4 linked regions of the Caenorhabditis elegans genome follow. The gene in region 1 interacts genetically with each later gene. Each region holds a gene or a part of one and is shown on either strand. Other genes may lie near its edges. The genes, in order: bar-1, hmp-2, cdk-12 and lin-3.

The links.
Region 2: of bar-1 (region 1) and hmp-2, changing one enhances a phenotype caused by changing the other (phenotypic enhancement), as found in Caenorhabditis elegans (2 studies listed by BioGRID, with this or other methods).
Region 3: of bar-1 (region 1) and cdk-12, changing one enhances a phenotype caused by changing the other (phenotypic enhancement), as found in Caenorhabditis elegans (2 studies listed by BioGRID, with this or other methods).
Region 4: of bar-1 (region 1) and lin-3, changing one enhances a phenotype caused by changing the other (phenotypic enhancement), as found in Caenorhabditis elegans (2 studies listed by BioGRID, with this or other methods).

What each region holds. Positions count from the first base shown.
Region 1 is NC_003284.9:7,165,500-7,172,526, forward strand, and holds bar-1 (Beta-catenin/armadillo-related protein 1), read right to left. Parts: upstream 5,127-7,027; 5' UTR 5,118-5,126; coding exon 5,050-5,117; intron 4,936-5,049; coding exon 4,809-4,935; intron 4,744-4,808; coding exon 4,648-4,743; intron 4,591-4,647; coding exon 4,486-4,590; intron 3,853-4,485; coding exon 3,706-3,852; intron 3,660-3,705; coding exon 3,535-3,659; intron 3,487-3,534; coding exon 3,372-3,486; intron 3,318-3,371; coding exon 3,105-3,317; intron 3,058-3,104; coding exon 2,812-3,057; intron 2,767-2,811; coding exon 2,653-2,766; intron 2,610-2,652; coding exon 2,466-2,609; intron 2,418-2,465; coding exon 2,292-2,417; intron 2,246-2,291; coding exon 2,150-2,245; intron 2,107-2,149; coding exon 1,875-2,106; intron 1,831-1,874; coding exon 1,742-1,830; intron 1,696-1,741; coding exon 1,539-1,695; intron 889-1,538; coding exon 653-888; 3' UTR 506-652; downstream 1-505. Other genes in the region: pgp-10 (P-GlycoProtein related), read left to right, coding at 1-138, 251-387.
Region 2 is NC_003279.8:14,736,943-14,743,175, forward strand, and holds hmp-2 (Armadillo/beta-catenin-like repeat protein), read left to right. Parts: upstream 1-1,939; coding exon 1,940-1,995; intron 1,996-2,626; coding exon 2,627-2,688; intron 2,689-2,745; coding exon 2,746-3,408; intron 3,409-3,515; coding exon 3,516-3,680; intron 3,681-4,020; coding exon 4,021-5,012; intron 5,013-5,403; coding exon 5,404-5,580; 3' UTR 5,581-5,714; downstream 5,715-6,233. Other genes in the region: K05C4.7 (Armadillo repeat-containing protein 1), read left to right, coding at 761-853, 904-1,680; K05C4.5 (WD_REPEATS_REGION domain-containing protein), read left to right, coding at 5,823-5,935. UniProt on the Caenorhabditis elegans protein: Required for cell migration during body enclosure and cell shape changes during body elongation. Plays a role in recruitment of the cadherin protein hmr-1 to adherens junctions.
Region 3 is NC_003281.10:4,331,299-4,336,023, reverse strand, and holds the start of cdk-12 (Cyclin-dependent kinase 12), read right to left. Parts: upstream 3,033-4,725; 5' UTR 2,962-3,032; intron 2,890-2,961; 5' UTR 2,800-2,889; intron 2,631-2,799; 5' UTR 2,629-2,630; coding exon 2,435-2,628; intron 1,899-2,434; coding exon 1,701-1,898; intron 1-1,700. UniProt on the Caenorhabditis elegans protein: Cyclin-dependent kinase which displays CTD kinase activity: hyperphosphorylates 'Ser-2' in the C-terminal heptapeptide repeat domain (CTD) of the largest RNA polymerase II subunit, thereby acting as a key regulator of transcription elongation.
Region 4 is NC_003282.8:11,055,898-11,063,690, reverse strand, and holds lin-3 (Protein lin-3), read right to left. Parts: upstream 5,878-7,793; coding exon 5,823-5,877; intron 4,393-5,822; coding exon of another isoform or gene 4,350-4,392; intron 4,293-4,349; coding exon of another isoform or gene 4,287-4,292; coding exon 4,047-4,286; intron 3,999-4,046; coding exon 3,834-3,998; intron 3,283-3,833; coding exon 3,201-3,282; intron 3,154-3,200; coding exon 3,027-3,153; intron 2,864-3,026; coding exon 2,741-2,863; intron 2,624-2,740; coding exon 2,535-2,623; intron 2,068-2,534; coding exon 1,792-2,067; intron 1,745-1,791; coding exon 1,633-1,744; intron 1,578-1,632; coding exon 1,491-1,577; intron 598-1,490; coding exon 520-597; downstream 1-519. Other genes in the region: ttr-16 (Transthyretin-like protein 16), read left to right, coding at 1-69.

The sequences.
Region 1 (7,027 bases):
GTGCAATTATCAGAAAACCAACTGTTCTACTGTTAGATGAGGCAACATCGGCATTGGATAGCGCCAGCGAGAGAGAAGTTCAAAACGCTTTTGAACGAGTCAAGAGGAGTACGAAGACTCAATGCACGTGTATTCAAAGTAAGAATTAGTATATTGAAACTGAAAAGTAATATTTAATGCGGTTTAAACTCTCAGCCAGTACGTCACGAGAATTGGCAAATCTCTAACGGGAAAAATGTTTTTTTTCCAGTCGCTCATCGTTTATCAACAATTCGAAACGTCGACAAAATATACGTTATTGTTCATGGAGAAATTGCCGAGGAAGGTAGCCATGAGCAGCTTATCAACTTGAAGGGTATCTACTACGAAATGAATCAAATGACGTAAATGAATTTGTTTTGGCATGCAAAAACTACACTCTGAATCTGGAATTCATAATTTGTAAATAATAGTTGTTATTTTTATAAAAATTTTCTTATCTGACACACTTTCTGAAATTGAAATTCAATAAAAATTCACTTTATTCAACATATTTTGCATGCCAATTCATGAACCCGTATACAAATAATTAGAATCTCATTTTCAAGGAATGTGCAACAAATATCCGACTGGGGTGGTGGAAAGTGTGGGGGTCTATGTTATAATTAAAAAATTAAAATCGACTATTCCTAGAAGGATAATAATCAGACGAATGACTACTCGGACCAGGGTTTGATGGAAGGTCGTTGTAAACTGGTGGACTACGGTCATAGCTGTTATATTGAGGAGGCGTTGGTCGCGGATAACAAGATGCTGTGGCATGGGGATCCAAGTACGTCTCGGGAGGTCCAATTGAGTATTCTGGATACATTGCTGGTGGGGAATGGTACATTGGTGAGTTGTATGGTTCTGAAGAAATATTTGTTTTTGGTTCTAGGTTCATAGTTTCTTTAATAGTATATTGTCTCAATCCAATTCGAAGGTGGAGTAGCGTCAGTGAAAAGTTTAGTAAAATAATCTTAAGAAAAAAACAAAACAATCATACAGCCGAAATAAAATATTACGAAATATATGTATTCTTTCAAAAAGTTTTGGCACCCCCACTTATAGAGCAAATACGTTAATTAAAAACCTTCATTTCACATTTAAACAATTTTTACTTCCAAAAAATGGGTAACTATGTAAAATGAATAATTGTCAAATTTTGATTGTTATTTTAAAAAAGTTGAAAAATTACATCTATAACAATTTTCCTAAGTTTTTTTTTCGCTCTCACAATGGTAAGCAAAACTATGTATGTAGATAGAATCTTTGGAATCCTGCGTTTATCAAAGTTGGCAATATATAAAAACTTCGGGAAGTTTTCGGCAACGAACAATCGTGTTGCCGAAGCTTTGAAAATTATCGAACATATATCTTTGTTGAGCTTATATTTTAAACTGCTTTTCTAAAGACATCTTCAAAATTTTGACATCCGGCAAATGTCAAAATGGCCGAAAGTTATTTGTTAAATTTGATTAGCTTCCTAGAGCAAATTAAATTGTCATCTTATATCTTACTTGATGAATCTCGTCCGGAGCTGTTGCAATACGAATCCATCATAGTATCATCTGTTAAAGGTGTAGACCATTGCTCTCCAGCTCCCTCACACACTTCACCGCTACTATTTAGTGCTTCGCTTCGTGGGGTGGTCATGCTCATGTGACCAAATTGGCTCTGTAATACTGACTTTTTCTTAGAGTTATCCCCCATTTTGTGTTACCTCTAAATATGAATTGTATCTTGGAAGAGTATTCCTTGTCTTTTCTCGCTTCTCATACATCATCTTGAGAATATTATTTGCTAGACTTGCTGTAAATTTTCAGTTCTACTTGTCTATTGGTGTGCAACGTTACCTAATTCAGGGTGAGTTTGAGATTGCATTTGAACATTTTGAAGCATTTTAACAAGAACGTCATCTCTGTCAAGTACGTTTGCCATTTGCTCATGATGCATCAAATTATAAATCAAGGCCAGAGCCGATGATTTCGTGTTCTCTTCAACGTTGGCTTTTTGTAATACAAAAATTGGAAGAGTATGACCATCGCCCATTCGGCTATTTTCAGGAGTTTGCAGGAAGAAAACAACCTATAAATTGAAATTTGGGTTTTCAACCTGAAAACATTAATACCTCGTTGAGAATGTCCTGGTCTCTTGTAATCCATCGCAGGATTTGAATACAAAGATGAATGATATCTTTCACGCGGACACCTTCGATAGATTCTTGCTTGAAATCCAACAATTATTAGTCGGTTTGTTGACTTTTTACTTACCACATTCAGCTGGGTACATGCCACTCTCAAAATATGAATGAGTTGCTCAACAAAACCTTTATCTCCAATTCGGCATGATCGGAATGGAGCAAGAAGGGCATGTTGGGATACAACTTTCAGCAGGAGCTAAATTAAATCTCAATTTCTTATTAGCCCTTCAAATTAATGACTTACACTCAATGTGTGTTTCAGCAATACTGGTCTCATTGTTAACAATTTGTGTAGAAATAATGCAGGATCTCGGAAAACAAATGCTTGGACCTTATCTGACATTGGATGTCCAACACAGAGATGCCGTAGCGTGCAAATTAGGCTTTCCTGAAAACCGTATTGTTAAGCTTTGAAATTTAAATGTTATTACAATATAATCCTCCATTTGCTGTGCTTCTTTATCTCTCAAGTCACCCATCTCTTTGGTGGCAATTGTTAAAGCTCTCACAAGAATGACAACCCCATTGTTGCCACACATAAACTCCTGGAATTAAAATTAATACTATATCTTGATTTCTGACAAAAGCACCTTGTTATGCCTGTTGTTTGCAACTAGATTTGACATTATCTGAGCAGAATATAGACGGATTGTTGTATTTCGAGAATTGACCAGCTCCAGAAGAGATTTCAAAAGTAAATCTTCTTTTATTTTGCTTGGTACGTCACTTATATTTCGCAAAGTTTCAAGGGTTGATTGTACAAGTCGCGGACTACCATGTGAAAGAAGATTGGCGAGAATTTGGCGACCACCAAAAGCAACAAGATTTGGAGCGTCCTGGAAAAGTTCAGACATTACATCCTTCAGTTTCAAATATTTCTTACAAAGTTCGAAAATGTTTTCAAAAGTTGCGTAGTTCGCCAAAGCAAATTTTCATAAACTCTGTGTTGTAGTAGCATGAGCAGTTTTTGAGGTCCTCCCATTTTCACAAACTTGATTTTCTGTTCGGTGTTCTTTTCACACAAAACTCTGATCAAGTCAACTATCACTGGAAGAAGTTTTTCTGATTTCTCCGCTTCTAACCACGGAGTCACATGCTGCAATTTTTTGTAAATTTTTTTTTTTCAATTTTTTTTCTTCTTTAATCTTACAGTAATCGCATCTTGTTGACGCGCAATGATCACACTTTGTCCGCCTCTCTGCTTATCGGACAGAATCGAATGCATAGTAAGAATGGCATATTTGTATATTGAACTTGGATAAGTACTGTAACAGCTATTTGAATGATTTTTTTCTGAAATTTAACTTTCTTACCCAATATGCCTAATAAGATTTGGAATTATATCAGGTTGTTCTGCGATCGCTCGAGTGACAAGATCAATTCCTTCCTGTCGGTTGCAAATGTGGAAGAATGTTCCCAAAGTGCAACGAATGATGTTCTGAAAATATATGATGTATTAAACTGTGCAAGTGCACAAGCTATACCGGGAATTCAACTTTGTCACGGAGAAGATCACGCAGTGTAAATATAACACGGGGGTCCACAATTCGAGCTTCATTTTGCCGTCGCATTGGGTCACACTCCATCTTCGCAATATTTTGCATCAGAATTACAGCTTTGTGCACAACCTCCTGTAAGATTTTTGTTTGAATAATGTTTTTTTCAGCAGAACAATCAATTTTTTTAAATTTTTTCCAGATACTTCAATTTTGATAATCGATTTTAAATGTTACAAACAATCAAAAGTTCAAACACCGGCTTCATCAGTAAGCAGCATTAGAACCAATTTATCTTTGTGTTAATATCAGTACTGAAATCAAAAGTTCATAGTTTAATTTCAGATTTTGTGATTTGAAAATTTAAGTGAATAAATTCGACTAAATATTTTTCTTACTGTAGATTTGATAATTTATTTTGAGTAATTGAAAGTTAAAAATCAATTAACATCATATTATACCTAAATGAAATAATAGTAGTCCAGTAATAGTAGTAATAGTAATAGTAATAGTAATAATAGTAATAGTAGACATACGTTTCTAATTTTTTAAAGTTTTTTTTTCAAAAATTTCAGTCACAGTTCTGATAAGTTGCTAAGTTTTCCAAAAATTTGTAACATTTCGAGCATTGTTGCATGTTGGAATACAAGATGTTTGAATATAATTAAAATATAAAAAATAGGTCAAAACCGAGGATTTTTTTAATTCATATATTGTGAAATTATGAGTATGAATATTTCAAAAAAGTTTTGAACAAAAAAATCTTACATTATCCTGATCTTTCATAAGCATAGTGAGTTCTGGAATTGCTCGAACTGTGTTATACTGCCCATCCGCTTGATTTTGCGTGATCCCATCAAACTTTTGTTTTTGCTGGAAGAAAAATAACAATTTTGTCCACCAGCGCATTTTGATATGAAATGGTCTTACTTGATCTGAAAGAGTGGGGATCGGCTCATAGTCGGCCATGGATGACATTCCGGAAAGATGCGATGACGGATGTAGAGATGATATAATAGATGGAGCCTGAAATTGAAACACATTAATCTTTGTTGTGTGTGTGTGTCTATCTCTCCTCTGTTTTCTCGTACCTCACTGTGATTCATTGTTTGGAAACCGCTATCAAAGTTGTGATTCCGCCACATATCCACCTTGCGGTGGCCGGTGCAGGGCGTTGAGCCCATGTGTATATCCGAATAGCTCGAGGTGTGTTGCTCCCTGTAAAAAATATTTTAAAACAGTTTTAAAATTTTTTTTTTGATAACTCCCAACATCAAAATAAATTGTTTCTTTTCCTCAAATTTGCAGGCTCGTTCAATCAAAAAAACTTACATTGTAAAAGATGCCTCTGATAAATTTGTGTCGTCATGGTTAATAACTAGGTTCGGATCCAGGTCCATCCCAGTTTTCTGAAAAAAAAAGCCAAATATTTTTTTATGAATCAATTCGAACAAGAAAAACGATTTGTCTGCCGGATGAAGAGAAAAAATAGGAAAAAGCAGTGAAAAAACTGAATGAACAAAATGTTTGAAAACATTACAAATCTTCCTGCTGGGCACAAGAAAGAGTGTGTGGTGATGGGGCGGTGAAATAGTGAGATAGAGAGTCTAAGGCTTGTGTAATGAAGAAAAAGCAATAATAGAAATGAGCGGTTTGTACCTAACCTAGAGTAAAGGGCTATTGATATCAGATGGCTTCTATTTCACCCCCAATCATTCCCATCCCCTTGCCCGTCCCGCTCGCATTATTCAACCCATTTTCTTTCGTGCTTTCAATCACCTATCAGTGAGTGAGCAGCCAAAGGTGTGAAATTGGCTAATAAAATTTAGAGGTATGTTTCAATAATAATGATTATCTGTGGTGAAACGAGAAGGCACACAGTCATCAGTTGTGGGTTTGAAATGAACAAACGGGAAAGACGGGGGAAACAACTTTGATAAGGATGTATTTGGGAGGAGAACTGGGAAGGCTGGGAGAGAAAATAGAAATGGGATAGCTTAGTCGTAAATTATCAGTTGGGATAATTAGTCGACTCTTATTTATCAAGTCCTTCATTTTTATTCTTCTTTATTTTCTTATTCATTTATATCATATCAGCATAACGACCCAGATTTGCTGTTTTTCAAAAGGTTTCTAGTGGAAAATCAAACAAGCCATCATTTGGTTTCCGTTAGACAGAATCGTTATCAGGATTATTCATTTTAGACAAAAGTTTGGTCAATAGGAAAGTGTTAATCATGGCAAATTAGAATAACCAAGAGTACAACCTTAAAAATAATTTTTAAAAATTGTGTTAACTTTCAAATTGCAGGATAAAATTGCAAACTGTGAATGATAAAAAAAAGTTAATTTTCTTTCAGGCTAAGTTTCTGGCATTCAAATTATTTAAGCAAAACTTTGATTGTTATTTATTATAATTTTATTGGAGTTCACTACTATAAATTATGTTTTTTTTATTGTTTCATGCAATGGATCAATTGCTAATTTTCATGATACACTTTTGAAAAGGTTTTTTTTTATTTCCGCTGAAGAAAAGCATCATCATTAATATGACTTTTTATCCTGTTTTCCAATACTATGAACTTTGATTTTTTGAAGGACACGTTAATGACTCATTTAGTGGGTATGAGTTGCCTATTGTTTGTACATTTAAACACTTTCACAGACAAATTGCATTTACTTGTTATGTACACAATGTCATAAAGACTACAACTTAAAAATTATATTAATGAATTAACTATCTTTCATACTATTCTGAAAAAGTTTTTGCTCAATTTATTTTTTAAGTTGTAAAAACTTATAATATATTATTATTTTACAACCGGAAAAAAGTGAAATTACGTCGAGAAAAAGCAATAAAAGAAGAATAGTTTGTTTAAGAAATGGAGAAAAGTGTTGCAACGGGTGCTCCATGTCGGGGGTTTACTGATAACAGTGTTCTCCTTATGAGCAATCTTTCATAAAGACATCATTTAACATTTCAAAATCTTACAGGAAATTGGAATATTTAAAAAATCAGTGCTTCCGTCTTGTGCTAAAAAAAAACATTTTTAACCTCAAAAGTTATTTTAACTTGCAATGTGTGTTATTTATGACTATTGCAAAAAGGATCTCATAAAAAAATAACTTTTTTTAACTGAAATTTTTCAATCCTTCACCAATTTTTCAATACAGGCGTCAATATTCCAAAGTTGGGTTTCTAAAAAGATGATAAGTAAAGATTGCGAGAAATGAAAATTTTAACACATGATAATGATACATATTATCAATTTTGAAGAAAAGAATAAGACGCAGTGGAATGTTGCAGTGT
Region 2 (6,233 bases), on another chromosome or scaffold:
TGAAAATTTCCTTTTTTTTTACTGTTACAATACCTATTTCGTAAATTATATATATATATATATATATATCTCGTTATCTCTCCTTATATTATTTAATCCCAACATTGTATTCAGTTTCATTGGCTTAGCAAGTTTTCGATTGAAAATTTTTTTTTTCAGCCAAATACCGATTTTTCATATTTTTTTCGCATTTTTGATTGATGTTTCTGTGATTATTGGTTTTCCTATGTTGTTTTAAAAGGGTTTGTAATGTATCTTCGCTGAAATGTTTGTTTCATATTCAAAAACGGCAATGTTTCCACTTTCCCACTCGGTATCTTTTAGTTTTCAGGCTGCAGCTTCAAAAAATTGAAAATGGCGAAAATTTTAGGGTGGAATTTGTTTTCTTTTTTTTTTTCATATTTTACATAATACTATTTTCGTAATTTATTTTTTTCCCTCAAAATGTGCATGATGCGTTAAATTTTTTTTGGCATAGACTTCGCGTCCCAAATGGCGAGTAATAATTATTGAGAAGGAAAACTGTGTGCGAGCCCTTTGCAAAATGTGTGCGCACCACTTGCGGTATGCCTCATCGTGTGACTCCGCCCACATTTTCTTTTGTTTCCATTTTCTCTTTTCCCCTCAATTTATCGATTTTTATCCACTTTTTGTTTTTCACATTTAGAATTGAGTATTTCATCGCTATTCTGGTTGTTTGCGTTAAAGTTTGTCGTTCAAAATCGAAATTTTCGTTAAAAATCAAGGTTTTTATTTCAGAATGACTGAAGTCGTAAATGCCGACAAAATAAAAACGATTCGCGCGTACTACAAGCTGTGCCAAAAGCCGGAGAATCGAGCAGTCGTGCTTAAGGTAAGTCGTTAGCTCACTCAGGATTCACATGAAAATTAAATTTCTTCCAGGACAAAACATTTTTCCACACTCTCCCAACGCTCCTCAAGGACGAAAGCTCCGATGTCATCAGATACACGGTTAAAATCCTCGTTTTGCTCACAGAGCAGTCGGGGAACATCGAGCAACTGCTGAAATCCGCAGATTTACTTCCAGCATTGTCGGAAGCCTGCGAAAATATCACAAATCCCAGTGTCAACTATAACTTGGTCCTTGTCTCGAGTAGGATTCGAGTAGTGAAGAATTCGCTGGATGCCAAAAGAGCCGAGAAAGAGCCTCTAGCCGATGCGATCAAAGAGCTCGACAAGGGCGGAACTCTTCACCGAAAATTCGTTGGAAGAAAGTCAAAGCAGATTATTATGGAATTCGATGCGGAGGAATTCGATGAAACGAAGAAGCTGTCAGTTGAGAGAGGCCTTCTGAAGAAAAAAGGAGTAATCAGTGTATATATAACCGAGCAGAACTCAATTCCACGCGCCGTGCTCCGCACAATCCCGACAATCGAAGCCAAGGACATTGCGCAGTCCGTTTTCGCCGCCGCCGGATTCGAGTACGTCGCGCAGTTAGTGAAAGTGAACGGAATCGACGAGAAATTCGAGTTTTACGCGTCAGAGATGGGCAAAATCACGGAAAACTCGAAAGATTACCCCGAATATTTGGATGATGATGTGCTTCACGTGGATCCGGCAAGTTGTGTGATAACTAATGAGATGGCTGCCCATGGAAGTGGTCAAGAGGGCGGATGGTTCAGTTCGATCACTTCATTCGTCAAAACTTCCCTCTGGTGATGGAAGGAATTCTCGGATTATCTCGGAAAATCTCGAAAAAAAATGTATTAAAGTACTACGGTTTCTTCTTTGTTATCTCAATATTTTCTTTTTTCTCCTGTTTCTCGTTTTTTTTGAGATCTCTTTCTGGTATTATCACCGCACAGGCATATAAATCGTTTCACACTGGTTTTTAAATCCTCGTATTCTTGATTTTTATGTGTTTTTAAGCTGTTTTAACCAGCTCTAATTATCTATTCGGCAGTTTCAGATTCGAAAAATGCGATTATTCTCATATTTGGACGGTTGCGGTACCAAAAATAGAGGAATTTATCGGTATAAAATATCCTTAAAAATCCAAAGTCCTAGTGAAAATCTTGTTTTTGCGTTTTCATCTAGTTTCCGATTCGAAAAAACCCATTTTTCTAAATTTTCTACCTGAAACCACGTATTTTGACAGTTGCAACACCAAAAATAGAATAATTTTCCTTTAAAATCGCCACAGAAGCACAAATTCCAAGTGATAATCTTTATTTTGCGTTTTCAGCTAGTTTCCGATTCAAAAAATGCGATTTTTCTCGATTTTCTACCTGAAACCTCGTATTTTGACGATTGCAGTATCAAAATAGTGGAATGTTTTTCAAAATAGCCATAAAAGTAAAAATTCCTTTTTAGCTAGTATCTGATTCGAAAAATGCGATTATTCCTCAATTTTCAACTAGAAATCCTATTTTTTTTTAAATTTTCTACTCTAAATTTCGATTTTTCGCACTTTTCCACTCGAAATAAATTTATTAAATTTAAATTTAATTTTAAAAAAATCTTAGTTTTTGTGGATTTTTCCTGTTTAAAATGACTTTTCTCTGCTCCCACATGAAATTTGATAGTTTCAGCACCTAAAATATCGAATTTCTTTGCATTTTCTCGTCTAAAACTCACCATTTCCTTTAAAAAGTATAATTTTCAGTAGCTGTGAACTCCCAACAACCATGCTTCTTCACTCTACCAACTCTTATTCGATATTCACTGGTAAAACACAAAAAAATACAATTTTTTCGAAATTTCTTCATTTAAATTAATTTCCAGACCATGAAGTCGAAACTCGAACCTCTAGAATCCGCTCAGCGATGTTCCCCGACTGGATTCCACCAACTTCTGCTGCAGAAGCCACAAATTCAACTACAAGCATCGTCGAAATGATGCAAATGCCAACTCAACAGCTGAAGCAATCAGTTATGGATCTTCTAACCTACGAAGGATCAAACGATATGTCAGGACTCTCGCTTCCGGATCTAGTGAAGCTTATGTGCGATCATGATGAGTCAGTGGTTGCTAGAGCTGTTCATCGAGCTTATATGCTCTCAAGGGAAGATCCGAACTTCTTCAATGCGCCGGGATTCGATCATCGATCTTTTGTGGAAGCTCTGATGGCTGCGTCGAAGAGTTCCAACGTGAATGTCCGTCGGAATGCGATTGGAGCATTGTCTCACATGTCTGAGCAACGTGGAGGACCTCTTCTGATCTTCAGAAGCGGAGGGCTTGCTGAAATCATTCGAATGCTCTATGATTCACTGGAATCAGTTGTTCACTATGCTGTGACAACACTTCGGAACCTTCTGATGCATGTTTCTGATTCCAGAGCTCAAGCGAGAGCTCTCAACGCCGTTGAGGCGCTAACTCCGCACCTTCATAAGACGAATCCGAAGCTGCTGGCTCAAGTGGCGGATGGGTTGTATTTCCTGTTGATCGGTAAGGATTCACTGGAAAAATCAAGAATTTTGTACAAATTTGCATTTTTTAAAGCTATAAATTCAAATTTTCCACTCTAAAATTTCAAAAATCGGTCAATTTTGCAGACGATGCTCCATCGAAGATCACATTCCTATCACTGTTGGGACCACAGATCTTGGTTTCGATTCTTCGCGAGTACTCGGATCATCGGAAGCTCATCTATACCGTCGTCCGTTGCATTCGATCCCTGTCCGTTTGTCCGAGCAACAAACCGGCGTTGATCAGTCTTGGTACATGGATGTTTTGATTAAAAACTATTTTATATCGCATTTTTAGAGATATTTTCAGGTTTTTATCCACTGAAAAGCTGGAAATTTGAGATTTTTAGCTGAAAATACTTGAAATTCGCAGCTATTTCGAGTGTTTTGAAGCAATTTTTAAACATTTTCCTTTATCTTTCACGAAATTCCAACAAATTTCAAAATTTTTGTTCCGGTGGTTCAAAGTTTCGCTGAAACCTCCAATTTTACCCTCTTTCAGCAGGAAATTACTTTGAAATTGCGCGTTTTTTGAGAATTTTCCAATAAAAAAGTTCAGAAATTTAAACTTTTCAATATTAATTTTTTCTAGGCTGCCTTCCTGCTCTCTACGTGGAGCTCTGCACCGCAAAAGACGAGCGATCCCAGACGGCGATTCTAGTGGCGATGAGAAATCTGTCGGATTCTGCGACAAACGAGGAAAATCTCACTCAACTGATCATCAAGCTTCTCGAAATCATTCGTGTCGCCAACGATGGAATGACTGCCTGCGCGTGTGGAACATTGAGCAATCTCACCTGCAATAACACTAGAAACAAGCAAACCGTGTGTTCTCACGGGGGAATCGATGCTCTCGTCACCGCGATCCGCCGACTACCTGAAGTTGAAGAAGTCACCGAACCGGCTCTCTGTGCTCTTCGGCACTGTACTGCCAGGCACTCACTGGCTGAAGAAGCTCAAAGTGAGCTGAGATTCTGTCAAGCATTCCCAGTGATTTTGGATCAGCTGGAAACTCTTCGTACTCCAGTTATCAAGGCAGCTCTCGGAGTTATTAGAAATAGTGCACTTCTTCAAACAAATCTTATCGAGTTGACACAAGAACAAACTGCAAATGGGCATACAGCTGTGTCACTGACAATGGATATCTTGAGAAGAGCTATCACGGCGATTGAGGAGAATCCTGATATTGCTGTAGATGGAGTTCCAATGTGGGGAGTCATCGAAGGAGCTGTCTCGGCTCTTCATCAGCTCGCGAATCATCCGGCAGTCGCTGCAGCATGCTGTGATGATATTGGACAAGTCGGAAATCCAGAATGTCCACCATTCTTGGATCTTCTCCATCGTCTTCTGGCTCATCCGAGACTCGGATCCATGGATGATGAAGTTCTCGAACGCGAGATTCTTGGGCTTCTCTATCAGTTGAGCAAGCGGCCAGACGGAGCCCGTGCTGTTGAGAGTACTGGAGTTAGTGCTCTTTTAATGGAATCTCGTGGCTCACAGTACAAATCAGTCGTCACTTATGCGAATGGAGTGTTGAGTAATTTGAAGAGAGGAGATTCAGCTGCCATCATGAATATGTCTAATGTGAGGAATTAGGAAAAAAAATAAATTTTCCGTAAAAAAACCGAAAAATCGAAAGAAAACTTTTGAGCCACCACGGATTTAAGATATTGTGGGATTCCGGATCGTTGAAAAAATGTGTTCTATGTGTTGGCACGGTGATCCGGAAATGGTAGATCTAGAATCCCACCGGATCTTGAATCCGTGGGGCCTCAAAGTTTTTTAAAAATTCAATGTTTTAATGAAATATTGTCCATATGGACAAATGTTGATGAGAAAAACCATATAATTTTGTTCTAAAAACAAGGAAAATAGTTCAAATTTTCAGCTTTTTTTCGAAAAATAGAAAAAAAAATTTCAACATAAATTTCCGATTTTCGAGCGAGCCATTCATGAATTAATTCCGAATTTTCAGTCGTACGACTACGAGATGAGTGGAAGTGCTGCGGATTGGCAACGTGATGGGCTGGAACGAGAGCTTTTCGCTGAAATGTATCCGACAAACGACGGCGGACACTCGGAATCCATTAATATGGCGTTGAACAACTCACAAATGCGCCCTAATCACAATTGGTACGATACCGATTTGTAATTAATTTATCTTCTCGTATTTTTGCATTTTTTACACATAATCTGCTGAATATATCCACTGGGAATTATTATTCATGGTTTTAAATTTAATTTTTGATACTTTCAATATATTTATATTATAAATGTAATTTTATACTTCCTACTATCTAATGTTATACGTATCTTTTTTTTGGTTCTTCGGTTCCTTTTTCCTATATTTTTTCAAAAAAAAAATTTCAGACAATTTAAACGAAAAATTTCCAGATGAGTATCTGCCTTGAAAAGCAGAAAATCCGATGCGGAATGATAAGCCGGACGGCTCGACACATTGCCATCGATGAGAATAGTGGAAAAATGGCAATTGTGAGGAAATCTAGGTTTGTACGGAGGATTTATTGGAAAAAATGATTTTTGAAATTAAAAATTAAAGGTGGAGTAGAGTCAAAACAAATTTTTTGCTTAAAATGACAGAAAATATACCCAAATAACCGATTATAACTGAAAAAATGTTCTAAATTTTTTATGATTTTTCAATTTTTCAAAAATTGAATTCCCGCGAAAATAAGTGACGTAATTTGTTTATATTCTCGCGTTTTCTGGCTAAATTCTTTGGTTTTTCTTGATTTTTCTTACACATATTTAGTTTTAAACTCTGTTTCTCAAATTTTCAGGTAC
Region 3 (4,725 bases), on another chromosome or scaffold:
CGGTAACGGAAATTTGAGTGTCGCGGAGGGGGCACCCGTTGACAGGAGAGATCGAAAGAAGAATGGACAACGGTGAAGCTAACAGTGTGAGAGAGACGTAGAAATTTCAGATGCCGAGATATTACGAGGCGACGGAGAGACGCAGTCTGATGGAAAACGAAGGGGACGGCGCCGCCGTCAAGCTTCATTCACCGATGGCGCTGGTTGGAAGTGACAGAGAGATAGGAATGCAGAGAAACGGGGACCCAAACAGACTCAAAGGGTGTGCGCAACGATGGAGAAGGAGTGGGGGAAAAAGTGAAGAAAGGGTCGTTTCGTCGTGTTCTCTACGTCTCAATTGCACAGGAACCGAATGTTTTGGTGGTTGTGGCATCTTCTTCATTTTTTTCTTTTTTATGGATATTTTTGTGGTGGAAAAAGGACACGAGGAAATAGACAATTGGATGAGGAATGGGCATACGATGAGAGTGCAAATTGACGGGCGGAATGTAAATCGACCAGTTGAATGGACTTGCCGATTTTGGTATTGAATAAGCTTTCTATCACACAGGTATCGGTGAGTTTCTCATTTAGTCTTCGAACGTTAAATGATTAAATCAGCGGATTCGGAAAAATTGATCATACGGTTTGGAAGCTTGTAAAACAAGAATGAATCACCCGTCTGTGAGAGGACACATTGAAACATTCAGAATTATAATATTCTATAAACCTCTGATTCCAAACTATCAAATGTTGCAAGATGAACAATATAATAGAAGATTTGTTGTTAATGACCTAGTTCAATTGTTGATCCAGTTCGAGATGGCTATCAGTTCTTGCAAAAAACGAATCAACGAGATGATAAAAATGGACGTAGAGAGAAAACAATGTAGTCGGGGAATGGAGAGAATAGCCTGGTCGCCACAGAATTGATATTAATATCAATAGCCATAGCGTGAGCCTCATTCTCCATTTTTTGCCCATTTTAAAACCGATGCTTATTGAAAACCCGTTGCAATTGGTGACCTTCAGGGACACCTGCCTCACACTTTCCCCTTTTAAAAAAGTGAAATGTTATGGGAAAGAAAATGGTCAGAATACGGTAGGTTTGTGCAAATGGTCAGATATTTCAGTTAGCTTAAAGCTGCTATAGTAAAATTAATTGGAATATATCTCAACGTAGATCTTATGAAAAGTAGTGCTAGTTACTGACAGTTTGCCACCAGAGAAGCTCGTGTATTGAACACGTGACGTCTTTTTAGATTGGGATGAAGTTGAACGGATTCGTAAAATGTAATCAAGTAGCGCTTTTCAATTGAAAATGCTAAAGAATTTTATCAACTAGAACAAGGTGTGCAGCGATTCATAAACTATGTTCTATCTGGAAGCTCCTCAGGATTCCGACTGGTTGGATTAAAACTTCAAATACAAAACCGCACCACACACAGTCAGAACATTTCGAGCTTTGTAGTAGAAATGATCCAGTGATCAGAGTATGTGATTTGGCACAAGTCAGAAAAGGGAGGAGTCACACCCCAGCACAGCGAAAACACCATCAGTTCAGCGCCCCGCCTTCCTCTCTGAGTCAGACAATGTATGGCAATCCTGGCGACTATTATTCGAATATTTGCGAGAAAACTATTGGGATATTAGCAGGCAAGTTTATCTTTTTATGATTCCATCGCTTGCTCTACAAATTATCGATTTTAATCCAAACTTACAGATCAGATGACGACGATCCGGACGAATTTCTCCTTTTGCTTTTCTTCGAAGATCCACTTCGTTTCGGTGATCGATGCCTGCTTCGACTACGGCTTCGTTTATCTCGTCGTTTGTTGTAGTCTTTGCCTTTCTTTCGATAGCTGAAATCGTTTCGTCCACGGTCGCGACCACCACCGCCACCGCCTCGGGACCAATTCCTGAAACTAGCTCACCTTTTACAACTTTTTTGGAAAAAGTTAAAATTTTAGCTAAAATCTCCAATTTTGACCACTTTTCCCAGTCGCAGCGGTCGGATATTAGCTTTCATTTTTCGGTAGTTTATCTCATATTATTTTGTTGATTAGGCAACATTTAAAGCCCGTAGGTAACCAAAAATCGCCGGAATTGGTTACCTTTCAACTTTAAATTTACTTTAATCAATGAAAAACGGAAGATAAATCACCAAAATATGCAATAAGGAATGATAAATCGATAAAAGTTTTCCGACAGTTGCGTCACGAAAAAGTTGGCGAAGTTGGAGATTTTAGCTAAAATCTCGTCATTTTTTCGAAATTTTGAACCGCCATAAAAATGTTGAGATGTCTTATTACGAAATTAGTTCATTTGAGCATATTTTGAGACTATACAGCCAAAAAATCATGCGAATGACGCAATTTTCCGATAATAACTTTAACTCTGCTACAGCATTTTTAATTGAAGAATCCAATTTTCAATTAATATCTGGAAAAAGTACCTTTGCTTGTACTGTGGAGAAATTGAATCTTTCGAGTCTCGATCTCTCGGTCTCACACCTTGTCTCGAACTTCCTCTTTTGTCTTTTGAATAAAATCTGGAAGGCGATCCACTGTGACTGCGAGTTCGTTCCCGATGTCCATAGGAACCTTTTCGATCTCTCTCGTGTGTCGAAGAACCTGGCGATATTTCCATGGCTGAAAATGATAAGAATATTAAAGATTTGAGATTAAATATGAGAAAACAAAAAAAAATAAACGACACAACGACGACAAAATATTGAAATATAATGTTAGAACATGAAACTGGAAGCGAAGGAAGAAAACTGGAGTTCAATTGGATTTCTTGGTTGTTTCGAAGACTGACCGTCTTGTTTGGAAGGATAACAACTACTATTCGATCGATCACTGTTTGCCAAATTCGAGCCGTCAGTCGACGAGTCGAAACTCATTGAATCTGCAAAAATTCGAATTTGACAGGCTAACAATTTGTTAAATCCTTTTCAAAAATAAATAATCATGAACTTACAACGCTATTCTTCTATCCGGCAGCAATATGCGTCGAATTTGGTCTGAACTTTCGTATGAAACCAACTGAAATCATGCGATTACAGGAAAACAGTTTCAATCAATAAACACAAGTGCATTTTTCTCACGTTGGCTAATGAATTTAATGAGAAAATATTATGGGATTTTGAACTAAATTTGTTATTTCGCAGGATATTTAGATTTTTTTAAGTTTTTATTCTTAAAATATCAATAAAATATTAAAAAAGAAAGGAAAAAAGAGAAAAAAGTCGGATGGCATCGAAATTGATTGGCCCCGCCTACGAAAACCGTGCGGCGCTTGCATTTTCTTTCTCTCGTCTCTCTCACATTTGCACACTCTTTCCTTCAGTGGGTGGCGCTTATGTCGAGTTTTTCTAGATTTTCTTCATTTTCAGGAGAAAAACTAGTAAAACTGATGCTGGAATTTGCTCTGAACAATTAAATAACTGCAATCTCATAGAAAAATTTAAATTATCGATTAAGAGCTCGAGAATAGTCAATTTATTGTAGCTTTATCGTGCAAAACTGCTCGAAGAAGGAATATTGAAAGTTAGTGTAATAATACAAATTTGAAAAATACTTTTTTAGAACCTCGGAATGAGATGTTTCAGGTGTCCCAACTTTGTATACAGAATGGATCGCAGAAAGAGTTGGATCACGGGAGCTTTCAGCTGATTATTATTCGGATTAAAGCTGGCCTGAAATTAACCTGCAGTCAAATCAAGAATGGCTCTTTGAGCAATTGCGCCGGGTCACGTTGGATTTTTTTAAACTTTGGTAAAGCATGTATTAATCAAAAATGATCATTTTAAGAACATATCTTATTAGCTAAATGTGAATTTTTTGGCGGAAAACTAAATACTACCAGGTCTCAAAACGATCGAAACTTCAATGCTACCGTCCCTAAAAGTATTTTGCAATTTTTTTCTCTTTTTTGAACAAAAATTTTAAATTTGTATTACCCAGTAGCGAAATAATGTGATTTTCGTCCCGAAAATACGGTACTCGATCTCGACACGACACATTTTTGTCAAACGCAATGATAATGCGTATGCTTCTTCAAAGAATACTGTAGTTCGAAACTTGTTGCTGCGGGACTTTCATCGATTGTTTAATAGTTTTTTAGTTAAAAATATATGTATTTATTGAAAAAAAAAATTAAATACACTAATTGTAACAAATCAGCAGAAAAATCATCAAAAATCGGCGAAAAGTCTTGCCGACGCCGTATTTTTGGCGCAAAAAACGTAAATTTTTGCATTTCGGTAATATCAAGATCCATATTGAAACTCGTTTTTTGTTTCAAGTTGTAGCTAACGGGTACGGTAGCTACGAAGTTTTGATCGTTTCGAGACCGGGTACCGTTATTCTGGATGAAAATATTGACAATTCCGAAACTGGGTAATATTTCTAACGGCCCATGATCCAAGGGTACATCGACATAGGGTACACCGAGCGATTTTTTGTTCAGAGGATACAATCATTCTTAGGGTACATACATCATCGAATGGCCGTTATACTGTTTGAGATAGGCGATCTGATGCTGCTAGTACGCTTCCTCAAATTGTCTGGAAGTTTTGGATATTCAACTTTTCAAAAAACCTTTCCAACATTTTCGAGACTACTTATTTTCCAAATTACCTCTCTCTTGCCTACTTCAAACATATTCTTTTCCATCAACTTTTCCTCCTCATCATCTCAATTCCTAAAAATCCTCCGAATTCACTACGTCTCTCGAATTCTC
Region 4 (7,793 bases), on another chromosome or scaffold:
GGAACCTACGACATGACCTACGTCACCCTCGACATCAAGGTTCACGGAGAGAAGGAAAAATGCCAGTAAAAAGTGCAAACTTCCTGGATTTTATTGACTATCTAAATATATATTTTTTCTATATGATTTTTCTCAATTTTCCATTAATAAAAACATGAAATAAATGTTTAGTTTTTTCAACGAGGACCTGAAGAGACTAGGGATCAAAGGAAATTACAAAAACGATGCAAATATTGTACCCGTTGGAAATCGAGGAGTTGAACTGGCAAAATTATACAAATTGTCACAGGAACTGAGAGGGAGAGTGAGAGAACTATAGAACATTTGGGTGGGATATAATAGGGTGCCAAATGCAATCTATAAAACATGTAGAACGATATGAAAATAGAGGAAAAAAGAGAAAGCGAAAAAATTTGAAGAGACCAGAGATGTTTGAGCAGTGGTAAATCACAATTATAGCACAGAGAAGTTGATGAAAAAAGAAAAAGATAAGACAAAATAAGGAAACAAATTATAATTTCATGTGTGTCGAATCATTGGTTCACATGTTGCTGGTGATCCTTGTTCTCCAGAACTTCGAGACGGGGATCGAAAATTCTGAAACTTTCAAATGAGTAATCATTTTATTATTCAGAGGTTAGATTTTGCGATTTTTGCACAAATAATACGATACCAGGTTGAACTGCGTCTTTTAAGATTACTGTAATCATTTTCCAAAAAATAAACAAATGGATGTAACCCGAAAAATGTATTGTATTATAATCAATGAAAATTTCGTAGCAACGAGGGGTTGCAAAAGACAGTAATCTTTAAAGGCGCAATTCCGCTTGCAGTTAAAGGCGGAGTACAGTCATTTTTAAAAATGTGATCTAAATGAAAAAGGACCGTAATAAACAGATATAACTGCTAAAAAAGTAATGAAAAAACATTTGAGGGATAATTATTTTTGAATTTGCGACTAACCTGGATTCGACATTTTCACTTTTATGAATAAATTCGTTGGTTTTTCTCAATTTTTTTTTTCAATATTTGATTTGAATTACTGTTTCTCAATTTTTCAGACAATTCTCCGCGCAAAAAATATTAATTTAAGTTAAATTATCGATATTTTTGCCAAACTAGTAATTTCAACGAATTTCTTTCGGGGGTTATTTCAAGTTTACGGGAAATTGTCTGAAAAATTGACAAACGGTGTTTACATCAAATATTGAAAAATTAGAAAATATTTTCCAGAAATCATTCCATCATTTGCGCGGTAATTCAAAAATAATTAGCCTTTTTTTAGTTTTTGCAAAATCCAAAAAATCATTAAAGATTTAAAAAACTTTCGTAAAGTTTTTTAACAGTTATATCTGTTCATTGAGGTCTATTTTTATCATTTGAAGTGCATTCAAAACGACACAACTCCACATTCAACAAAAATTTGTCGTGGAAAAAATCGCATTTGAGTAATATCACCTCGATTCTTAGTTTTTAAAAACAATAATTACCGTATCTGCAGAATCCAACTCGATATTAATTACAGTGTGCGCCGGTGGTGGACATGTTACTGATGCTTTTGAAACTTCTGATTCAGTCTGAAATGTGCGATTAATTTATTTTCAAAAAATCCATGAAAATCGAAAAACTGACCGACTGATATGATACTGTTGAAAAATCAATGTGGCCAGAGTAATTAATTGCTGAAACTTCAACACGTGGCACTGACTTGTAGTGCTTCGGCGTGTCGTCGTCATTGATACTCCTGAAAGTTCATTTTATTTTGAAAATGAATTTTCAGAATTTTGATACCTGGATGGAATGGTACCTTGACTTCTGAGAATGCTGAAAAAGTTGTTCCGTGCTTGTTCATTATTTCGAATAGCTTGTTGACGAGTGGGTATTCTTGATCCAGGAGTTGATGATATATTTGGAGGTACTGTACCCGGTGTTGGGATAGTATAAGAACATGATGGAATTTGATGAACTGGAATATGTCGTCCATTTGGTGTTTTGAGGACATTGAATGCTTCTGGTGGGCACATATGACTCATTGTATATGTCATATCATCCGATCGTTTAGACATTCTGAAACATTTATATAGTTGTTTTTGAACAATTTACATTAAAATGTTCGAAAATCTTTAAAAAAAGATGCTTAGAAAATTAACAACAATTTCAAAATATTATTAAGCTGTGTGTTGATTAGAAAACAATTTTCCTAACATAATTTTCTTCTGAAGAGAGGAGAAAAGAATAAACTGGCCAAAATTCAAATATATTTTTCGAAACATTGCATTTTTGTATGCAAATTTTTTTCGATTTTTTTAAACTTGAAAATCGAAATTTTTCGTTTTCCAATTTTTCGTTCTTCAGATATTTCAATATTTCAAAAAAAAATCAATTTATCGGTCATTTTTCTCCTTTTAGAAAAATGCTATTTTCTAAGGTTTTTTCTCATCAAAATGAACAAAATTTCATAATATCCTGAAATTTTTTCTGAGAAAAAAAACCGAAAATTTACCAAGACTTCAAATTTTTGATGAAAAGTATACCTTCTATAAGCATAAACAACAATTGTTATAAACATGATGAGCATGACAATGAGAAATGCGAACGCAGGAATAGCTGATGTTGAAGATTGCTGAAAAAAAGTATGAGCAAATGCAGCATTTTAAAATTTAATTTTTTTCATATTTCGAATATTCTAGATTGACGAATAATGTGGACATCAAGCCCATTATATAATTTATATTCTCACCACAATTCTCTCATAAAGCCCACTGAAAATAGAAGAAATTTCAGAATCTTGACTGGAAGGCGTTGTAGAAATCGTTTGATTTGGATGATGAACCATAAAAATTAATGGTTTTTTCGTTTTTCCCTAGAAATAATTTACAAAAATGATATGTTTCTCATAGAAAACCATCACCGCAAACAAACCAAAAAATAATTAGATGAGAACATGCTACATGCAACTTAATTAGGGTTTCACAATAAGGGTATTTTTGTTAATTTTTTTTGTTTAGATGAGAGATTATAATTACTTGAACGAGGAGTTGCGCCGTGCTGCTCATCGTGCTCAAACGTACATTATATCTGCCGTTGATTGGGGCATAGAACGCCTGAACGTAGTGACGATCACAACGAGTGCCTTCCCAACCCTGTGGACAACTGCAAAAAGGATTACTGTACTTGCTCATAATTGTTTCCAGACTTACTGGCAAGAAGGAACAACTGCTGAAACTCTATCTTCACGGAATATCACTTCCACGTGGCATGTCGCGTTGTGATGACAGTAGTCTGAAAATTATTTTTTTTCAAGATTTTAGACTGAATTCATTAATCTATTAAAGAACTCCAATTGCATAAATCCATTTGCAAGGGTGTCGATTTTCGGAAAAAAACACCCGTTTTTAATTATTTCAACAAGCAAGAATCATGGAAAGATGTCGTCGAAAACTTTTTCTATTTTTTGAAAATCGAAATAATCGAAAAATTCATTCATTTGAAATCGAAAATCGTTTTTAAATTTAAATTTTTGAAAAAACTAAAAATCAAAAACTTTCAATTTTTTGTTGGTTTTTTTTTTTGAAAATTCAAAATGTTCGGTAATTTTCCTATTTTATAAAATACATTTTCGCATAAAAATTGACATGTTTTTAAGAAACCTAGTTTTCTCGTTTTTTTAAACATACATTATTTCCAACTTTTTTCAGTTTTTCAATTTTTTAGATTTTCAAAAACTGTTTGTTGAAATAACTAAAAAAAGGGTTGGTTTTTCCCGAAAACCGAGAAATCTGAAAAATGGAACGAAAACTCAAAAGGTTTTTCAGACCTAATCAAATGGCTACCTTTGCATTTTGCTTCTTTCAACTTCTCGATTTCCTTCCGAACCGCCGGTTTAAGAGTCGACGTGGCATCTTGAGTGGCATCTTCATTATATTTTAACGCTTCTTCTACTTCTTCATCAACCTTTTCATCTTCATATTCACCCTCATATTCTGCTTCTTTCTCGACTGAAAAAAACAAATTTCTGAGATTTTCTCTATACATTTAAGTATTACTTAATTCTTTTGCAACCTCTTCAGTTCGTTTTTCATCGTCTCCAGCTTCGGAAATCGTAGTTTCAGTAGGTGTTTCAGGTGTCGAAGTCGACGACGGTGCATCACCTATTTCGTTTGTTTCTAGAGAATTTCGAGAAGTATCGGGTGGTACAGAGCCACTATTTTCAGCTGCATTCTCTGCAGATTGAAGCTGTTCGGGAGCACTACGTTCTTGACGAAACCACGAAGGGAGACACGATTCTGAAACTTTTATTGATATTTGAATGGAAAATAATAATCTTTGTTTTGATATTATAGACATACCAAATGCGACTAGAAGTCGTTCAGGAATCGATTTACCGAACATTTAAATTTTTCGTATTCAAGAAAATATGTATAATTTTCTTAATATTACTTTTCCAAAAATGCCTGAGACATTGGTAAGAACACCTGTGTGTACAGTTTTCAGGGTCACAAGAAAAAACCAGCATAAAATACACAGGTGCATTGAATAGGGAGAGACGGGAAGTTCTAGAATTTTGAAAGTACAGAAGCTCAAGGATCCACGGAAAGAAACTTGAAGAATAAAAAAAGTACGATTTTATTTCTTTGTTTCTAGACTACTGTAGATTGGTTGTTAGTCTTTTTTTGAATTTGTATTGTGATTATTGTTCTCGACATCTACATTTTTTTGTCAATTTATCAAATTGCCTGATTTCTTTAAAAATCTACAATAATTAATGACAAACCATTCAAGGGACCATTTAAATTCGAATATGTAATAACTGGTATGTACATAGTTGGTGGTAAACTCGTAGATTGCTGCCAATATAGGTGAAATAAATACCGATGGTAGTATTGTCAAGGGTGTTTATGAGGGGGTGCATACAACATTTTGGCGGTGTTGGCGGGTACTTGAATATTTACGATCACCTACTGTGCATTGCTGTATGACCTCTTCAATTTGCAACCGGGTAAACGGAAATTATCACAAAATACGGCTATTCGCCAGACGCAAAATTTTGCAATTTTCGCCCCAAAAATACGGTCCGTGGTCTCGACACGACAATATTTATTTAATGTAAATAGATGAGCGCCTTTGAAGAGTACTGTAATTACAAAATTTCGTTGCTGCGGAAATTTAATCAATTTTTTAAAGTTTTTCTTACGATTTGTTAAAATTGGTGTGCTTTTATAGTTGTTTTTGAATAAACAGACAATTTTTTATCGGAAACCAGTTTTAAAAATTCGGCAAAAACGGGAGTTTGAAATTACAGTACTCTTTAAAGGCGCACATGCATTTAATAAAAACTTTTCGTGTCGAGACCCAGTACCGTATTTTTAGAGCAAAAATCGAGAAAATGCCTGAACAGGGCTGTAGATTTTTCGTGTATTTGGTGGAAAATTTATTTTTCGATTTTTTGGAAAAAAAATTAAGCGAAAAATGCTGATATACTGAAAAATTATAAATGTTTAAATTTTACAACTTTCCAAAGAATCACACTGGAAATTGTGAACATAAATAGTGCGATTTCGGTCAAAATATCGTTTCAAACTAAATTTTTCATTTTCGTTTTCGAAAAAAAATTCCCTGCTCCTGAACCAATCTTTTCTCATAGTCGTTTGTGGCGATTTTTATTCCATATGACAATGTTTAGTGCACTAGACAAAAAATGTGTAGAACACGAACACACATGTGGTTGTAGTGTCAAATATCATTCGATCCGTTCAATATGTTTTAAGAGGTGTGACGTTCAATTCCAAGTAGAACATCATTTTTTTTAAATGAAAAATTACCTGTAAATTGAGGCATAAAGAGTAGAAGGATGCAAAAAAGTAGCATTTTCCGCATTTTGGAAACTTGTGGGCGACGATATCTGAAATAATTTTTTTTTTTGGATAATTGTTGAGAAATTTAATTGAAATACCTTATGAAACAGGAAAAATTGATGCATAAGGGGTGGGAAGAACACCGACAAGCCGACGATCCGTTATTCTGAAAATTAAAATTTAAAAAAATTGGGAATTTTTTAAATTTTTAAAGAGAAACATAAGGAAATATTGTGCAAAGAATGCGAAATTTTTTTACGGTACCCGGTCTCGAACCGGCCGATTTTCTTGAATTCCAAAGAGCGTGTACCTTTAAGGAGTACTGTAGTTACCAACTCCTTATTGTTGAATTTCTTCAAAAAAAATTGATGGTTTTAATGAAAGAAACAGGTAAAAATTGTGAAAAATCTGATAAAAATATCCCAACAATACAGGGTTGGTAACTACAGTACTCCTTAAAGGTGCACGCTCTTTGGAATTCAAGAAAATTGATTCCGGCTACCGTAATTCTTTCTTTCAAAAAATATCCCAAAAATATATAAATTTATAAAACTCAGAGACTCTGATGGCCATGATGATTCACATGAACTTTCTGGCTACCGCACTAACTGTATTTCTTAACTGATATTAATATCACAGTTTTATACAAGGAATGTTAGCTGAGAGCAAAAAATAACAAAGAAACATCAGAGAAAACAGAGAAAATCGTACAGTCTAGTAGTAGATCAGCTAACTGTTAGAGAAAGATCGGGAGAAGTGGGAAGCTAACTGTTGATCGGAAGAGTAATTATTGCGAAACAAAAAAGTTATGAAAAGAAATCGAAAAGAGGTTAGCTTTGACCCTGGGAAAATCAGTGGCTTCTTGGTGGTACTTTTCAGTGGCATGAGTCAGTCAACGATGGGCGGTTCGAGAAGAGAGCAAATAGAGAAGATGCGCAGTGATCTATTTTGATGGTGAAAAAATAACTACAACATATTTTAAATTTAATCTTTTCTATTATTATGGGGATTCAGAAAGACAGTCATTTTAGAATCGACGTTGAAACGCTCCGCCCACAACCCATGGGTCTCGCTAGGTATTTGGTGGAAAATCCGTAAATTCAAGCGTTTTCAATTAGTTTTGCCAATTTTTGTTATTTTTTATGTTGTTTTTGATTATTTATAAGCCGAAATAATTTTTTGAAAATTCGTGTAATGTTGAAAAGTGAATAAGTTTTAAAAAAATTTGTTTATGAACTTTATTTCATTAATTTCCAAATGAAAATCAATACAAAGAAAGTAAAATAAATTTTTAAAAATTGACAAAATCGGTAAAAGTAATTTAAAAACTCTGAATTTACGGGTTTTCCGCTAAATACCTAACGAGACCCATGATTCGTGGGCGGTGCTAATTGGCCGTGGGGAACGATTCCACGTATATTTTAAAATTGGGAATTTTGTTTGTTCCTATAATATTTTCGGAATCTTCCAGGTTACTGTAACACTGAACAAACAAGAAAATGTCGAACATGGATCTGATGGAAGTATGGATACGGATGAGTTGAGATAAATTATAAAATATGTTAATCAATGTCCACTTTGCAAACAATTCCTCAATTTCGAGAGATAAATGTTCTTGTGTTAGCAACAATTTTCAGAATCTAGGGAATTCCAATATAAAAAAACAACTCGATGAGCAATCACTGTTTGCATTTTGCCTATTTATCAGGAATGAAAACGAGACTATTTGGGAAAACTGGAGGAAACATTAAAGTGTATCAGAAATACGGCGTATTCCTTTTTCACATGAAATCGGATCTTTTCAACTTTGACACTACTTCTGGTTCTTCCTATTCCAGTTTTCAGAAGATTCTAAGACTTTATGAGTCAGCCAGTCAGCAAGTTTGTAGAGAAGCGAGGAGACAAATAGAAACAGTAAGAGCACATTGGCTCAGAAAT